Linked DNA regions of Saccharomyces cerevisiae S288C. The protein of the gene in region 4 purifies or fractionates together with the protein of the main gene of each other region. This does not show direct contact. Each region holds a gene or a part of one and is shown on either strand. Other genes may lie near its edges. The genes, in order: BRE5, ZUO1, RIO2 and RPS7A.

Region 1 (3,658 bases), on a different chromosome or scaffold from region 4:
GGTATCAACTTCGAAAAACACGAAAATTTAGGCATCGATGTATTTGAATTTTCGCAGCTTCTAATGGACTCTGGTTTAATGATGGATGATTCTGTTACTTGGATCACATACCATGCGGCATATGATCTAGGTTTCCTGATCAACATTCTAATGAATGACTCCATGCCCAACAACAAGGAGGATTTCGAGTGGTGGGTCCATCAATACATGCCCAATTTCTACGACTTAAACCTGGTGTATAAAATAATCCAGGAGTTCAAGAACCCTCAATTGCAACAATCTTCACAACAGCAACAGCAGCAGCAATATTCACTAACCACACTTGCCGATGAGTTAGGGCTACCAAGATTCTCTATATTTACTACTACAGGCGGCCAGAGTCTATTGATGCTTCTATCCTTCTGCCAATTGAGCAAGCTGTCTATGCATAAGTTCCCAAACGGTACGGATTTCGCCAAGTACCAAGGTGTCATATACGGTATTGATGGGGACCAATGATCATTTATGTACTATATGTATACACAATTTTAAAAAAAAAAGTTTAAAAGCAACATCAGCTTATGATTGGACATGTAGTAATACAGATTGGTTCTTCGATGCAATAAGCACTCTTCCACAGGAGATTGATGCGTTATTCCCGTATAGTTATCGGTCACGTGCGCTGTAGTTTGTTTAACCATTTATTTTTTCTTGGAAATTTTTTCGTCCAAAGCAGCGAAAAACATCAGGTGGCGATTAATGAAAGAATGACATATTGCAAGCAGCATAACCGTCCATTCCAGGGATAAGAGGAAGTACAAGCTTCTTTATTAATAGTTCTAGAGTGACTACATTATTTCAGATTAGGCAATATTACCTTTTCGTACCGTTTTTTTTTCCTGTCCACTGTTACTATTGTTACGGTTAAAAGTTCTATCGCAACCGGCGGACGTTAAACTAAGTCATTTGTTTTTTATCCCATTACTGTTTCAAAAAAGAGCAATTCATACCTAATTTGTACAAAACGAAGACTGTACAAGTGGTAGTACTTGACATAGGATATTTTGCTTGAGTATTAGAAGAATACGAAAAACTTCTTCAGTTTTCTAGTTACCGTTAGTACCAAAACTATTCTAGAGGAAGAATAAACAGTAAGATATTGCTTTAATTTATTTATATCACCTACCACAAGCTTTCGTTTTTTTACTCTGTTTAATTCTTCAAGTTGTGTTTTTTCCCTACATTTTAATTCATTTTTGCCCATTTAATTACATTTTTTTTTTTGTTTTATTATTTTCGTTCAAACCTCATTTTCTTTCAAATATTCAATTAGTCAATCATTTTACAGAGAATCTGTTGAAAACTTATTTTACTGATACATCTTTATTTTTCGTTGATTTTTAAAGAGAAAAAGATCACGAAGAATACTACAAAACCATCGCATTTTTTTTTTCAAGTGTGTTATAGTTTTATTACCTTGTCACTAATAGTTGCATTTGAAGTCATACCCTCGAATAGAAGTATCAAATAAAAGAAAATGGGTGTTACCGTTCAAGACATATGTTTTGCCTTTTTGCAAAACTACTACGAAAGAATGAGGACCGACCCTTCCAAATTGGCATATTTTTATGCAAGTACAGCCGAGTTGACGCATACTAATTATCAGTCCAAGTCAACAAACGAAAAAGATGACGTTCTTCCAACGGTGAAAGTTACTGGACGTGAAAACATTAATAAGTTTTTTTCTAGAAATGATGCCAAAGTTAGGAGCTTGAAACTAAAATTAGATACTATAGATTTCCAGTACACTGGGCACTTGCACAAAAGCATTCTGATCATGGCCACGGGTGAAATGTTTTGGACAGGAACTCCGGTCTATAAGTTTTGTCAAACATTTATCCTGCTACCATCCAGCAATGGGTCTACGTTTGACATTACCAATGATATAATCAGATTTATTTCCAATTCATTCAAGCCTTATGTCTTAACAGATGCTTCTTTGTCACAATCTAACGAGGAGAACTCTGTCAGTGCAGTTGAAGAAGATAAAATAAGGCATGAGTCCGGAGTTGAAAAAGAAAAAGAAAAAGAAAAATCACCAGAAATATCGAAACCAAAGGCCAAAAAGGAAACGGTCAAAGACACAACTGCGCCAACTGAATCGTCAACTCAGGAAAAACCAATTGTCGATCATAGTCAACCTCGGGCTATACCCGTCACTAAAGAGTCCAAGATTCACACCGAAACGGTACCATCTAGTACTAAGGGCAACCACAAACAAGATGAGGTCTCTACAGAAGAGTTAGGAAACGTTACTAAACTAAATGAAAAATCTCACAAAGCCGAAAAGAAAGCTGCACCAATCAAGACAAAGGAAGGCTCTGTTGAGGCCATAAATGCTGTTAATAACTCTTCTTTGCCCAACGGTAAAGAAGTTAGTGATGAAAAACCGGTACCTGGGGGCGTAAAGGAAGCTGAAACTGAAATTAAACCAATAGAGCCACAGGTTTCCGACGCCAAAGAATCCGGCAATAACGCTTCAACACCTTCATCTTCTCCAGAGCCCGTTGCGAATCCACCAAAGATGACATGGGCCTCAAAGTTGATGAATGAAAACTCCGACAGAATTAGCAAAAATAATACCACGGTTGAATACATCAGACCTGAAACACTACCCAAGAAACCGACTGAAAGAAAATTTGAAATGGGGAATCGGAGGGACAACGCTAGTGCTAACAGCAAAAATAAGAAAAAACCAGTATTCAGCACCGTTAACAAGGACGGCTTTTATCCAATCTACATTAGAGGTACAAATGGCTTAAGAGAAGAAAAATTGAGAAGTGCCTTAGAAAAAGAATTCGGTAAAGTTATGAGGATAACAGCTGCAGACAATTTTGCCGTCGTCGACTTTGAAACTCAAAAGAGCCAAATCGATGCTTTAGAGAAGAAGAAAAAGTCAATTGATGGTATTGAAGTATGCTTAGAAAGAAAAACAGTAAAGAAGCCCACGAGCAATAATCCTCCTGGCATATTTACTAATGGAACACGTTCTCATAGAAAGCAACCCCTAAAAAGAAAGGACTAGTCAACCACAAGCCTTTTAAAAAGAAAAATTGAAAAAATAATAAAAAAATTTGAAAAAGAAAAAAAAAAATCATAAAACCAATCTTAAGAAAAACCAAAAAAAAACCGCTAATTAAAATCTAAAAAATTGAAACAAGAAACTGTATGATTAGTAACTAATATACTGGCGCGGAAGGGAATGAATGCCATTTAAATGAGATGATTATGAAAATATAGCGTAGAGTAGATGCGCGAAACCGAGGCAGAAAAGAAAAAGAGACAAGTTAAAAATTGAATATAATGATATATGGGCACTTTCTTCTGTGCTAGGAAACGGAGGTAGAAGGGGATAGCAAGCTTGAGCAGTAATTAAAAAAAAAAAAAAGCATATTGATAGATAGCTCATTTGTAGTTAACTGACGACATTTATGTACATAATTAAAATAGAAGAAAATTTTCAAAAAAAATTCTCCTGGCGATTGTTAGGGACAAGAAAACAAGCCATGTTGTAACCAATAAATGTTACACGCCTTCAAAATAAAAAAAAGATGGACAAAAGAGATAAATCTTTTGCTTTTTCTTACTCTGTGTTGTTGTCAACAAAGACAACAAACGT
Region 2 (3,768 bases), on a different chromosome or scaffold from region 4:
TCCCATACTTGCTGAAAATTTTTCAGATCTTACTCTTCTGGTAGTGGTGTCCTCAGAAGAGCTAACTTAGCCGATTATTTTCAATTTAGTGCAGTATGATGTCTACTATCTACCGTCATTTATCTACCGCTAGACCGGCTTTAACTAAATACGCAACCAATGCCGCAGTTAAATCGACAACTGCATCCTCAGAAGCTAGTACTCTGGGTGCTCTACAATATGCATTGTCTTTAGATGAACCAAGTCATTCGTGGACAAAATCGCAATTAAAAGAAATTTATCATACCCCACTGCTCGAACTTACTCATGCAGCACAATTGCAGCACAGAAAGTGGCACGATCCAACCAAAGTGCAATTGTGCACATTGATGAACATCAAATCTGGTGGTTGTTCTGAGGACTGTAAGTATTGTGCGCAGTCTTCGAGAAACGATACCGGTCTAAAGGCTGAGAAAATGGTTAAAGTGGATGAAGTGATTAAAGAGGCAGAAGAGGCCAAAAGAAACGGATCTACTAGATTCTGCCTAGGTGCTGCATGGAGAGACATGAAAGGTCGTAAATCAGCCATGAAAAGAATTCAGGAAATGGTGACCAAAGTGAATGATATGGGGCTAGAAACGTGTGTTACTTTAGGTATGGTTGATCAAGATCAAGCAAAGCAATTGAAAGATGCAGGTTTGACTGCATACAACCATAACATCGACACTTCCAGAGAACACTATAGTAAGGTCATCACCACGAGAACCTACGACGACAGGTTACAGACCATCAAGAATGTCCAAGAATCTGGAATAAAAGCCTGTACCGGTGGTATTTTGGGTCTCGGTGAAAGCGAAGACGACCATATAGGATTCATCTACACATTATCCAATATGTCTCCTCATCCTGAGTCCCTACCAATTAATAGACTAGTTGCTATCAAAGGGACTCCAATGGCTGAGGAACTTGCCGATCCAAAGAGTAAAAAGTTGCAATTCGACGAAATTTTGAGAACCATTGCCACAGCGAGAATAGTTATGCCAAAGGCCATTATAAGACTTGCCGCTGGTCGTTATACAATGAAAGAAACAGAGCAATTTGTCTGTTTCATGGCAGGTTGTAACAGTATCTTCACCGGTAAGAAAATGCTGACGACAATGTGTAACGGTTGGGACGAAGACAAGGCAATGTTGGCTAAATGGGGATTGCAACCTATGGAGGCATTTAAGTACGACAGATCTTGAAGATAGGGATATGTGGATAATTCTACGATTCTAACTGTACATTTCTCCCTTATTTATTAAGAAAACCTATATATATATATATTTACCTATTTATTCTGCCATCGTTAGCTGGCGTTTTATCTTTTATGCATCCAATATCTAATATTACTTCCGATCACGCATTTAGTTCTGATTACAGCAGAAATCGTAGCGCGATGAGACATTTCATCAAATGGCCTTTTTTTTTTGGGCAATTTTTTTATATCTTGAAATGATAGTTGCCTTGTACTTTCAACCGTTCATTTCATTAAGAACTTGACTAAATATGAACATTTCTTAAAAAAAAGGTTGACATATAAAAATAATCGAATATAAACGATGGAATTTTTATAAAATTAAACACATATATATATATATATTAACTATAAATATGTCAAAGAAACCATACAATCATAGATTTATAACTATCTTTTGGATGACATTAATGAACATAACGCTCCTAATACAAATGTCCAAAAAATATTACCCGCAAATACGAATCTTTTTTTTTTCTCGATGAAATTTTGCAAAGAGTTCGAAATTTTTATTTCAAGAGCTGGTAGAGAAAATTTCATAAGGTTTTCCTACCGATGCTTTTATAAAATCTTCGTTTTGTCTCACATATACCAACAAGAGTAACGATGTTTTCTTTACCTACCCTAACCTCAGACATCACTGTTGAAGTCAACAGTTCCGCTACCAAAACCCCATTCGTCCGTCGTCCGGTCGAACCGGTTGGTAAGTTCTTTTTGCAACATGCTCAAAGAACTTTGAGAAACCACACCTGGTCTGAATTTGAAAGAATTGAAGCTGAAAAGAACGTCAAAACCGTTGATGAATCCAATGTCGACCCAGATGAGTTGTTATTCGACACTGAATTGGCCGATGAAGATTTACTGACTCATGATGCTAGAGACTGGAAAACTGCCGATTTGTATGCTGCTATGGGTTTGTCTAAGTTGCGTTTCAGAGCTACTGAAAGTCAAATCATCAAGGCTCACAGAAAACAAGTTGTCAAGTACCATCCAGACAAGCAATCTGCTGCTGGTGGTAGTTTGGACCAAGATGGCTTTTTCAAGATTATTCAAAAGGCCTTTGAAACTTTGACTGATTCCAACAAGAGAGCTCAGTACGACTCATGTGATTTTGTTGCCGATGTTCCTCCTCCAAAGAAGGGTACCGATTATGACTTTTATGAAGCTTGGGGCCCCGTTTTCGAAGCTGAAGCTCGTTTTTCTAAGAAGACTCCTATTCCTTCTCTAGGTAACAAAGATTCTTCCAAGAAGGAAGTTGAACAATTCTATGCTTTCTGGCACAGATTTGACTCCTGGAGAACCTTTGAGTTCTTGGACGAAGATGTCCCAGATGACTCTTCTAACAGAGACCACAAGCGTTACATTGAAAGAAAGAACAAGGCCGCAAGAGACAAGAAGAAGACTGCTGATAACGCTAGATTGGTCAAACTTGTTGAAAGAGCTGTCAGTGAAGATCCCCGTATCAAAATGTTCAAAGAAGAAGAGAAGAAGGAAAAGGAAAGAAGAAAATGGGAAAGAGAAGCCGGTGCCAGAGCTGAAGCTGAAGCTAAGGCCAAGGCCGAAGCTGAAGCGAAGGCTAAAGCTGAATCTGAAGCCAAGGCTAACGCCTCCGCAAAAGCTGACAAAAAGAAGGCTAAGGAAGCTGCTAAGGCCGCCAAGAAAAAGAACAAGAGAGCCATCCGTAACTCTGCTAAGGAAGCTGACTACTTTGGTGATGCTGACAAGGCCACCACGATTGACGAACAAGTTGGTTTGATCGTTGACAGTTTGAATGACGAAGAGTTAGTGTCCACCGCCGATAAGATCAAGGCCAATGCTGCTGGTGCCAAGGAAGTTTTGAAGGAATCTGCAAAGACTATTGTCGATTCTGGCAAACTACCATCCAGCTTGTTGTCCTACTTCGTGTGAATACCGTAAGAAATGGAATAGAATATATACGAATGTATACGAATATTATAGAGAACGTTCTCTTTTATTTCTATAATGAATAGGTTCGGGTAACGGTTCCCTTTTTAGGTATTTCTAGAAGATGAGAGAAGAGGGAATAATGAGAAAGGCGAAAAATAAAGGACACCTTTAACGAAAGATCAAAGGTGTCCTTATTTACTTACAATAGCTGCAATTAGTACGACTCAAAAAAAGTGAAAACAAAACTGAAAGGATAGATCAATGTCTTACAGAGGACCTATTGGAAATTTTGGCGGTATGCCAATGTCATCATCGCAAGGACCATACTCTGGCGGTGCACAATTCAGATCAAACCAGAACCAATCCACTTCTGGCATCTTAAAGCAATGGAAGCATTCTTTTGAAAAGTTTGCCTCCAGAATTGAGGGGCTCACTGACAATGCAGTTGTTTATAAATTGAAGCCTTACATTCCAAGTTTGTCAAGATTTTTCATTGTGGCCACCTTTTATGAAGATTCGTTTAGGATCTTATCACAATGGTCAGATCAAATTTTTTATCTGAATAAGTGGAAGCATTACCCATA
Region 3 (3,587 bases), on a different chromosome or scaffold from region 4:
CGAGAAAAAGGCAGGTGTGTTTTCAGACGATGATGAAGAAAATGACCAAAATTTCGAAGCTGAGAGCGACCTTTCCGATGGGAGTGGCCAAGAATCCTCAGACGGTGCAGAAGACGGAGAGGAAGCAGAAGAAGATGATGAAGAAGACGATGAAGAGGAAGACAAAAAGGGCCAAAGCGCTTTGAATAGAGATAATAGTTTTGCTTCTATAAATGGTCAACCAGAACAGGAACTCCAATACAAAGAGTTTAAGGAGCCGTTAGAACTCGAAGATATTCCGATAGAAATTGATAATGATGACGATGAAGATGATGAGGATGGATCCGGAGTAGAATACGATTGACTTAGATTCGATATTATAATATAGCATGAATACGCATATGTAAGAGTTCATAAATACCACTTTTTTTATCCTGAAGAATAACATGGCTTAAAAATCAAAAAAATTATGGATAACAACTTGATTATTTGCGGCCATTTATGCAGTCGTCTAAACTAAACTACTCTAGTATATAGTTTCCTAGTTTATCCATTTTTAGATTTTCAACACCACTGGAAAGCGCCTCTATAATACGTTCGTTCTCCTCTTCTTGTGCATCTTCACTGTCATCTTCAGAACTTTCATTATCAAGTTCGGAGTCATAGTATTCATCCTCCTCTGAATAATCGCCCTCCCCATTTTCTTCTTCGGCCTCGTCATTAGACATATCGTCATCTGAATTATAAACAGCATTTCTCATGCTTTCAACGGCAGTTTCCAGGCCCCTATCTCCTGGATGCTTTTTGCTAAATCCGGAAGCCTGCACCAATTCATCCAAATTGTCGGTTCTTTTAACGTCCCTTTTGAAATCTGGATACGCATATTTATAACCATCGCCGAAACCTTCAGTGTCGAGCATTGATGAATCAGGTTTTGGTTCGTACTTCAGTTTCTTTTTGAAGAAACGACGAATACAGTCAACATCCCTTTGGAAATAATAGTCGGCGTCTTGGTGTTGAATAGATATACATTGTGGAAAATCAATAACTACGAACCCACAATCGTTTTCATCCTCTAGTTTGTCCTTTATCATAATATTAAACTCATTAAAATCACAATGGATAAGTCCGCTATTTGCTAGATCAACGATGAAACACATCAGATCACTATAAAGCTTGGGTATATTCTTATGTTTTCTTAATCTCCTCATTGGGTAACCCTCGATAAGCTCCATAACGACTATATGACGCGAGTTATCGAATGGCTCAGGGACCTTGAAACCCTTAGAATAAAGCATGGACATAAACTGATATTCTTTATTGGCTGCCAAACGTGAAAGATGCATCCAGTTTGCCCCCTGGTTGGATTTCTTCAGATAATCTCTATTATTTCTGACGGAATGAAAAGAGGTTCTACCTAATCTGTGAATTTTCATTACTCTAGGGTTTCCATTTTTGTCACTTACTTTATAGATGTCAGATTCCTTACCAACACCAATAGTGTTACCGACAGAATAGACAGTGTCTCTGTTTAACATGGTTTTCAAAGCCAAATAATCAATACCGTTATAAGTTAGCCTGTAACCATCATATTTGACATTTCTCATTTTGGAAATAAGGCTAAGCTTGGCCAAATCACTAATGGCTCGGTTTGTTCCGGACTGCGATCTCATCCCCGAGATTTGATGAATCAAGGGAGTTGGAACGACTTCGTGACTTCTAGAACCTTGTTCAACGGCCTGGAGGACACGAAAATCATCAGTTGTCAAATATCTCATATGAGAAGTATCCAATTTCATTCTAGTCTGATTGAAAGTATGTGGTAGAAGAGATGTTTAAAATAGTATTGATTGGTCAATAGAAAGACGAGCCAAGGATAAATGGTTTAATATTATTGAGTAGTTCTTACTTTAAGCTAATTACTGATGATCCTTGACCTTACCAAAATCATGAATTGCGGGTTCCAACTTCAACAGAGAACCTCATCGCCAAATTTTTAGCTTATTTTTTCACGTTTTCTTTTCTCGAATAAGTCATTTGTTACGACATCATAATAAAACGAGTAGTATATATGTATATATAGATAAATCAAGTATGTAGTTAGCTAAAAATGACACTCACTCTGTTGAGCCATTCACCAACGTGAACCGCCATTGAATCCTTGACGACCTTGGCCCCCGAATTCCTGAGGGTTTGGACCACCGAATCCTTGGCCACCTGGCCCGCCGAATTCTTGAGGATTTGGACCACCGAATCCTTGGCCACCTGGACCACCAAACTCTTGTGGACCAGGACCTCCAAATCCTTGTGGGCCTTGTCTTCCGAAACCTTGACCGCCAGGGCCGCCTGGACCGCCAAATCCACCGTTATTGTTGTTATTGTCCTGACGGTGATGGTTGTTGTGTCCACCTTGAGGAGCACCTCCGAAGTTTGAGTTGCCGTATTGCTCTTGTTGCTTATGCTCTTTACGCTCATCAGATATCTTGTTGGCAAGGAATGCACCACCTATGGCGCCCAGCACACCACTCAACTTAGAATGGTTGTTCGACACCTTAGATCCAGCGTACGCACCGGCACTGCCACCTACAATAGTGGAAAATAAACCACGTTCACCGTTGGGGTTACCATTGTCGGCACCATATTGACCGTTGTTTGGAGCACCAGTTCTTTCTTGGTTGTTTTGCTGGTTATATTGACCTTGTTGGCCACTTGAGTAGAATTCGTTTGCAGACATTTTGGACACTTGTTAGATTGTCTTAAGTGATCTATATTTGGAAGGCTTACAAGTGTTTAGCAAGACAAATTAAAGTCTTTCTTTATAAATGACTGCTCAGATTGAGTTTTTTGCCAAGCCCAACAGCCAGCCCCTTTTCCGGTATGGGCTGTGCGGGTGCCGGAATTATTAATACTGAATATTAGCCCACGCCTCATTTTTAGCATGAACGAAGAATGCTAGCGGGGCGAAATGCGAATACAGTAAAAACTCCACATGGTTGTTTTATGCAGCCGAAAAGCAGTTTCATACGTGCCACAGCTTTGGGCAGCCAGAAAAGTTGCCTTAGTATGTTGGTGTGTATCAGTCAAACACTCGTTTGATGCCTCAAGAGGGGAAACAGAAGAATAATTGAATTTATGATTGTATGATATCTTGATCGTGATATACAGAACTAAAACTTCATCTAAGATACAAAAGCTAAGACATTAAAAATGAAAAATATATATATGTGTATAACCTTAACCAGAATGACATCTTAACGAGAAGACATGGCCTTGGTGACAACTCTCTTCAAACCAACTTCTGCCTTTCTCAACTCATCAGCGGATGGGTCTTCGATTTGCAAAGCAGCCAAAGCATCGGACAAAGCAGCTTCGATCTTGGACTTGGAACCTCTCTTCAATTTAGAAGACAAGACTGGGTCAGTGACGGTTTGTTCGATGGAAGCGACGTAGGATTCTAGTCTTTGTCTAGCTTCGTGCTTCTTAGCAAAAGCTTCATCAGCAGCCTTGAACTCTTCGGCTTGGTTAACCATCTTTTCAATTTCTTCAGAAGACAATCTACCGACAGCGTTGGAGATAGTGATGTTAGAAGACTTACCGGTAGACTTTTC
Region 4 (3,437 bases):
ACGGTATGCAAATTCTTAGTTATTATTGGAAGCATTGTCTTCGTTATCGGAGTTGCATCAAAGAAATACACATATGACGATTTCAAAGTAAGTATAAAAAGATCAGGAGAGCCAGGGGAATCACATGATATGAGGACTGAACCAAAAAGAACTGCGAAAACGGCAACTGTTCCAATGGAGAAAGACGAGGGCGTAGGTTCTTATAATTATTTTGAAATACCTATAACGAAAGAAACATCTACAATTCCTTATATTAATTGTGATGGCACGAGCTCACTTAGAAAGCCACCCAACGGTCCATCAAGCGTAGGCTTATCTAACTCCAACAGATACGAAAATTTTATAAACATGGCACGACATAAATAAATGTTTGTATGGCAACCTGTCGATTTAGCGGCAATCATACGGCGGTGAAAAAGTATGTAACTATGCATAGTTGTCATAAAATTTATTTGATTCAGATCTTTGCAAAAAGTATTTTTTTTTGGAATTTGGAGTTTTTATTATCTTATTGTGCTATAAAATAAACAAAGTTGTTACTAACTAATAATAAAGATTTAGATATTATTATATTAACTAATGAGTTTCACTTGGAATTTCGAAAACAATTTGCTTACCAGTCAATTTGTTGTAAACAGCTTGGAAAGATTCCAATTTGTAGTCGATTTGTTGGACATCCTTTGAGTCTAACAAAACCTTTTGGATCTTGTTACCACCAACCAAATATCTAACTCTCTTACCAACGATTTCAGTTGGGAAGACTAAGTCTTCCAAGATCTTGTCATGAACAGCAGTCAAGGTTCTGGATCTTGGTCTCTTTTGGACTTGTCTAGATGTTCTAGATGGCTTTGGCAAGATTCTTCTTTCAGCCAAGAAGATGACATGACGGTCTTGGAATTTCTTTTCCAATTCACGGGTCAACTTAGTTTGAACCTTGTGGAAACCAGCCAAAGATGGGACTGGAACAAAAATGGCCAAAGCCTTCTTACCACCAGCAACGTCGATCTATAAAAGAAGGAAAACAAAAAAGGAAAATGTTAGTAAGTTTGATTAGGTGATATTTTGAATATTTGAAGAGTTGACGCCAGTAACTTGTAAATGATATATGCATGGACGACACCGCTTAGAACTTGGACCGATTGTAATTAACTATCAGAACCTTACTGCGTATAGCATGATCTAGTAAATCGTTCCCTTCTTCTTAAACACTGGAGTAGGCTTTTTCTTGAAGATATGGTATTTGCTTAGCATCAAGGTTCAGGCGATAGTCAGCCAAATACATTTGAGTCCTAGTCCTTATCTTTTATACTTTTCTAGATTGAAACATTCTGGTATCGTCCCGTTCACACTTTTTTCCTTTGTTACTCTCCATTATTCTTAAGTTTAGATTCAAATTAATAACATACTTCTCTGATGGACTTGAATTGCAAAGGTCTCAACTCAGCTTTCAATTCTGGAGAAGAATTTTCCAATTCAACGAAAGCTTGAGCAACTTGTAATTCCAATTCAGTTGGAGCTTGAGACAAAATCTTGGCTTGTGGAGCAGACATGTTGTTCGTGATGATCTTTCTTCCTTTCAGCTTTCTTAAAATAAGATATATACCAAGTCGCAAGGACTAATTTTCAATCAAAATCTAATACGTTGCTGTAATGTAATAAGATTAGACATTTTACCAGGATTCTAACGCAGTAACTGGATTATTGCATAGAGGCTTCACTAGGATATTCATGGCAAGTGCAGCAACTGCCATACAGTAGTCTACGACGCTGGCAAGAACATGATTGCTAGGCTGAAAGAAAGCGAGCTTCGCGGGCCTCGCCGGAACAAAGTGATTGGTGAAAGGAAAGCATAAGAGAAATCCTAGGCAGAGCCATGGTCTCCAGCTAGCCGGGGGAGTACATTCGGCTTCTCTCTAGTTACTGAGTGACAAAAAATTACCGCGCGCACTGTTTTTTCTTCAATAATTACGCTAAAGAATAATGAATTTTTTTCATTTTTTAATACCATATCATATGTTTGGGTGTGATAAGGTTCATTGTGTATGGGTTTGAAATGAATGACGGTCATATTATTCTGCTCTTGAGCGCCTTCGGTGATAGAGCCGTATGTTGAAAAACGTGCGTAAATAAGGCACGCACAATAGGAAATCATGCATGGTTGGTATAGACATCAAGATCGTTATTTTTGAAACATTATTTTTATTCTAATAGCAGTTTGCGAACGCATTAAGTTGAGTATTGTTTCTTGGAGAGATTCATGATATTACTCAATCATTATCTGCCGGTGAGATCACGAGTAGCAGAAGAAAGGGGCATCGGACGGTCTTATTTGGCATTTTCGATCGTAATACCGCTTCTGTTTTGGCACTGATAATGTTCACAAAACTTTCTCTTGTAAACTAAAACGTTTACATAACTTCTAGCAAAGTTATAGTATTGCGGAAAGATTACCCACCTGATATGCGTTAATTAGTCATGTTCAAATTTCAGAAAGCCTTTTTCTATAAAAGATTATACAATGACATCCGGTAAGTCCGCCACACTATAGCTATTTTACGAGAAACCTTGGATGCTGCCAAATGTGGTATATCAACCAGCGTTGGTATAAGTCTCGTAAGTGAATTAATTGAGTTTAGTACTTGTTATAATGATGTACTAGCTTCATACCCCCTCTTTTTTTCGGGCTAATGGGAGTAATGGCATGGCCCAGATTGCTTGTGGCCGAGGCAGTGAAAAGTCGCGATGAGTTGAAAAATTTTTTTGCGATGAGGGAAAAGCGATTAACTCGGTGAAATTTCATCTGGTTCGTAATTGGGTGTCAGTTTACGTACGCTTTGGATAATATAATATATGTACGGCTTGCGTTGCAGTGTGAAACTGTTTCAATTTATTACATGCAATTTATTCTCTTTGTACTGGGACGTTCTTTTCTCTTGTAGAAAATTAACAACATCGTGTTACATAAACTTGGTTACCGCATACTGCAACCTCATATAAATACAACATAGGAAAGAAATGGCTGCCGGTGTCCCAAAAATTGATGCGTTAGAATCTTTGGGCAATCCTTTGGAGGATGCCAAGAGAGCTGCAGCATACAGAGCAGTTGATGAAAATTTAAAATTTGATGATCACAAAATTATTGGAATTGGTAGTGGTAGCACAGTGGTTTATGTTGCCGAAAGAATTGGACAATATTTGCATGACCCTAAATTTTATGAAGTAGCGTCTAAATTCATTTGCATTCCAACAGGATTCCAATCAAGAAACTTGATTTTGGATAACAAGTTGCAATTAGGCTCCATTGAACAGTATCCTCGCATTGATATAGCGTTTGACGGTGCTGATGAAGTGGATGAGAATTTACAATTAATTAAAGGTGGTGGTGCTTGTCTATTTCAAGAAAAATTGGTTAGTACTAGTGCTAAAACCTTCATTGT

The links.
Region 1: the proteins of RPS7A (region 4) and BRE5 purify together in Saccharomyces cerevisiae (affinity purification with mass spectrometry; 3 studies listed by BioGRID). This does not show direct contact.
Region 2: the proteins of RPS7A (region 4) and ZUO1 purify together in Saccharomyces cerevisiae (affinity purification with mass spectrometry; 3 studies listed by BioGRID). This does not show direct contact.
Region 3: the proteins of RPS7A (region 4) and RIO2 purify together in Saccharomyces cerevisiae (affinity purification with mass spectrometry; 5 studies listed by BioGRID). This does not show direct contact.

Annotation. Positions count from the first base shown.
Region 1 is NC_001146.8:716,186-719,843, reverse strand, and holds BRE5 (Bre5p), read left to right. Parts: upstream 1-1,516; coding exon 1,517-3,064; downstream 3,065-3,658. Other genes in the region: CCR4-NOT core DEDD family RNase subunit POP2, read left to right, coding at 1-498. UniProt on the Saccharomyces cerevisiae protein: Has a role in de-ubiquitination. In conjunction with UBP3, cleaves ubiquitin, leading to the subsequent mono-ubiquitination of sec23.
Region 2 is NC_001139.9:1,061,268-1,065,035, reverse strand, and holds ZUO1 (zuotin), read left to right. Parts: upstream 1-1,882; coding exon 1,883-3,184; downstream 3,185-3,768. Other genes in the region: BIO2 (biotin synthase), read left to right, coding at 96-1,223; protein ERV29, read left to right, coding at 3,446-3,768. UniProt on the Saccharomyces cerevisiae protein: Component of the ribosome-associated complex (RAC), a heterodimeric chaperone complex involved in regulation of accurate translation termination and in folding or maintaining nascent polypeptides in a folding-competent state.
Region 3 is NC_001146.8:253,544-257,130, reverse strand, and holds RIO2 (protein kinase RIO2), read right to left. Parts: upstream 1,779-3,587; coding exon 501-1,778; downstream 1-500. Other genes in the region: RTT106 (Rtt106p), read left to right, coding at 1-343; YNL208W (uncharacterized protein), read right to left, coding at 2,114-2,713; Hsp70 family ATPase SSB2, read right to left, coding at 3,231-3,587. UniProt on the Saccharomyces cerevisiae protein: Required for the final endonucleolytic cleavage of 20S pre-rRNA at site D in the cytoplasm, converting it into the mature 18S rRNA. Involved in normal export of the pre-40S particles from the nucleus to the cytoplasm.
Region 4 is NC_001147.6:503,907-507,343, reverse strand, and holds RPS7A (40S ribosomal protein eS7 RPS7A), read right to left. Parts: upstream 1,551-3,437; coding exon 1,407-1,550; intron 1,006-1,406; coding exon 577-1,005; downstream 1-576. Other genes in the region: YOR097C (uncharacterized protein), read left to right, coding at 1-366; ribose-5-phosphate isomerase RKI1, read left to right, coding at 3,016-3,437. UniProt on the Saccharomyces cerevisiae protein: Component of the ribosome, a large ribonucleoprotein complex responsible for the synthesis of proteins in the cell.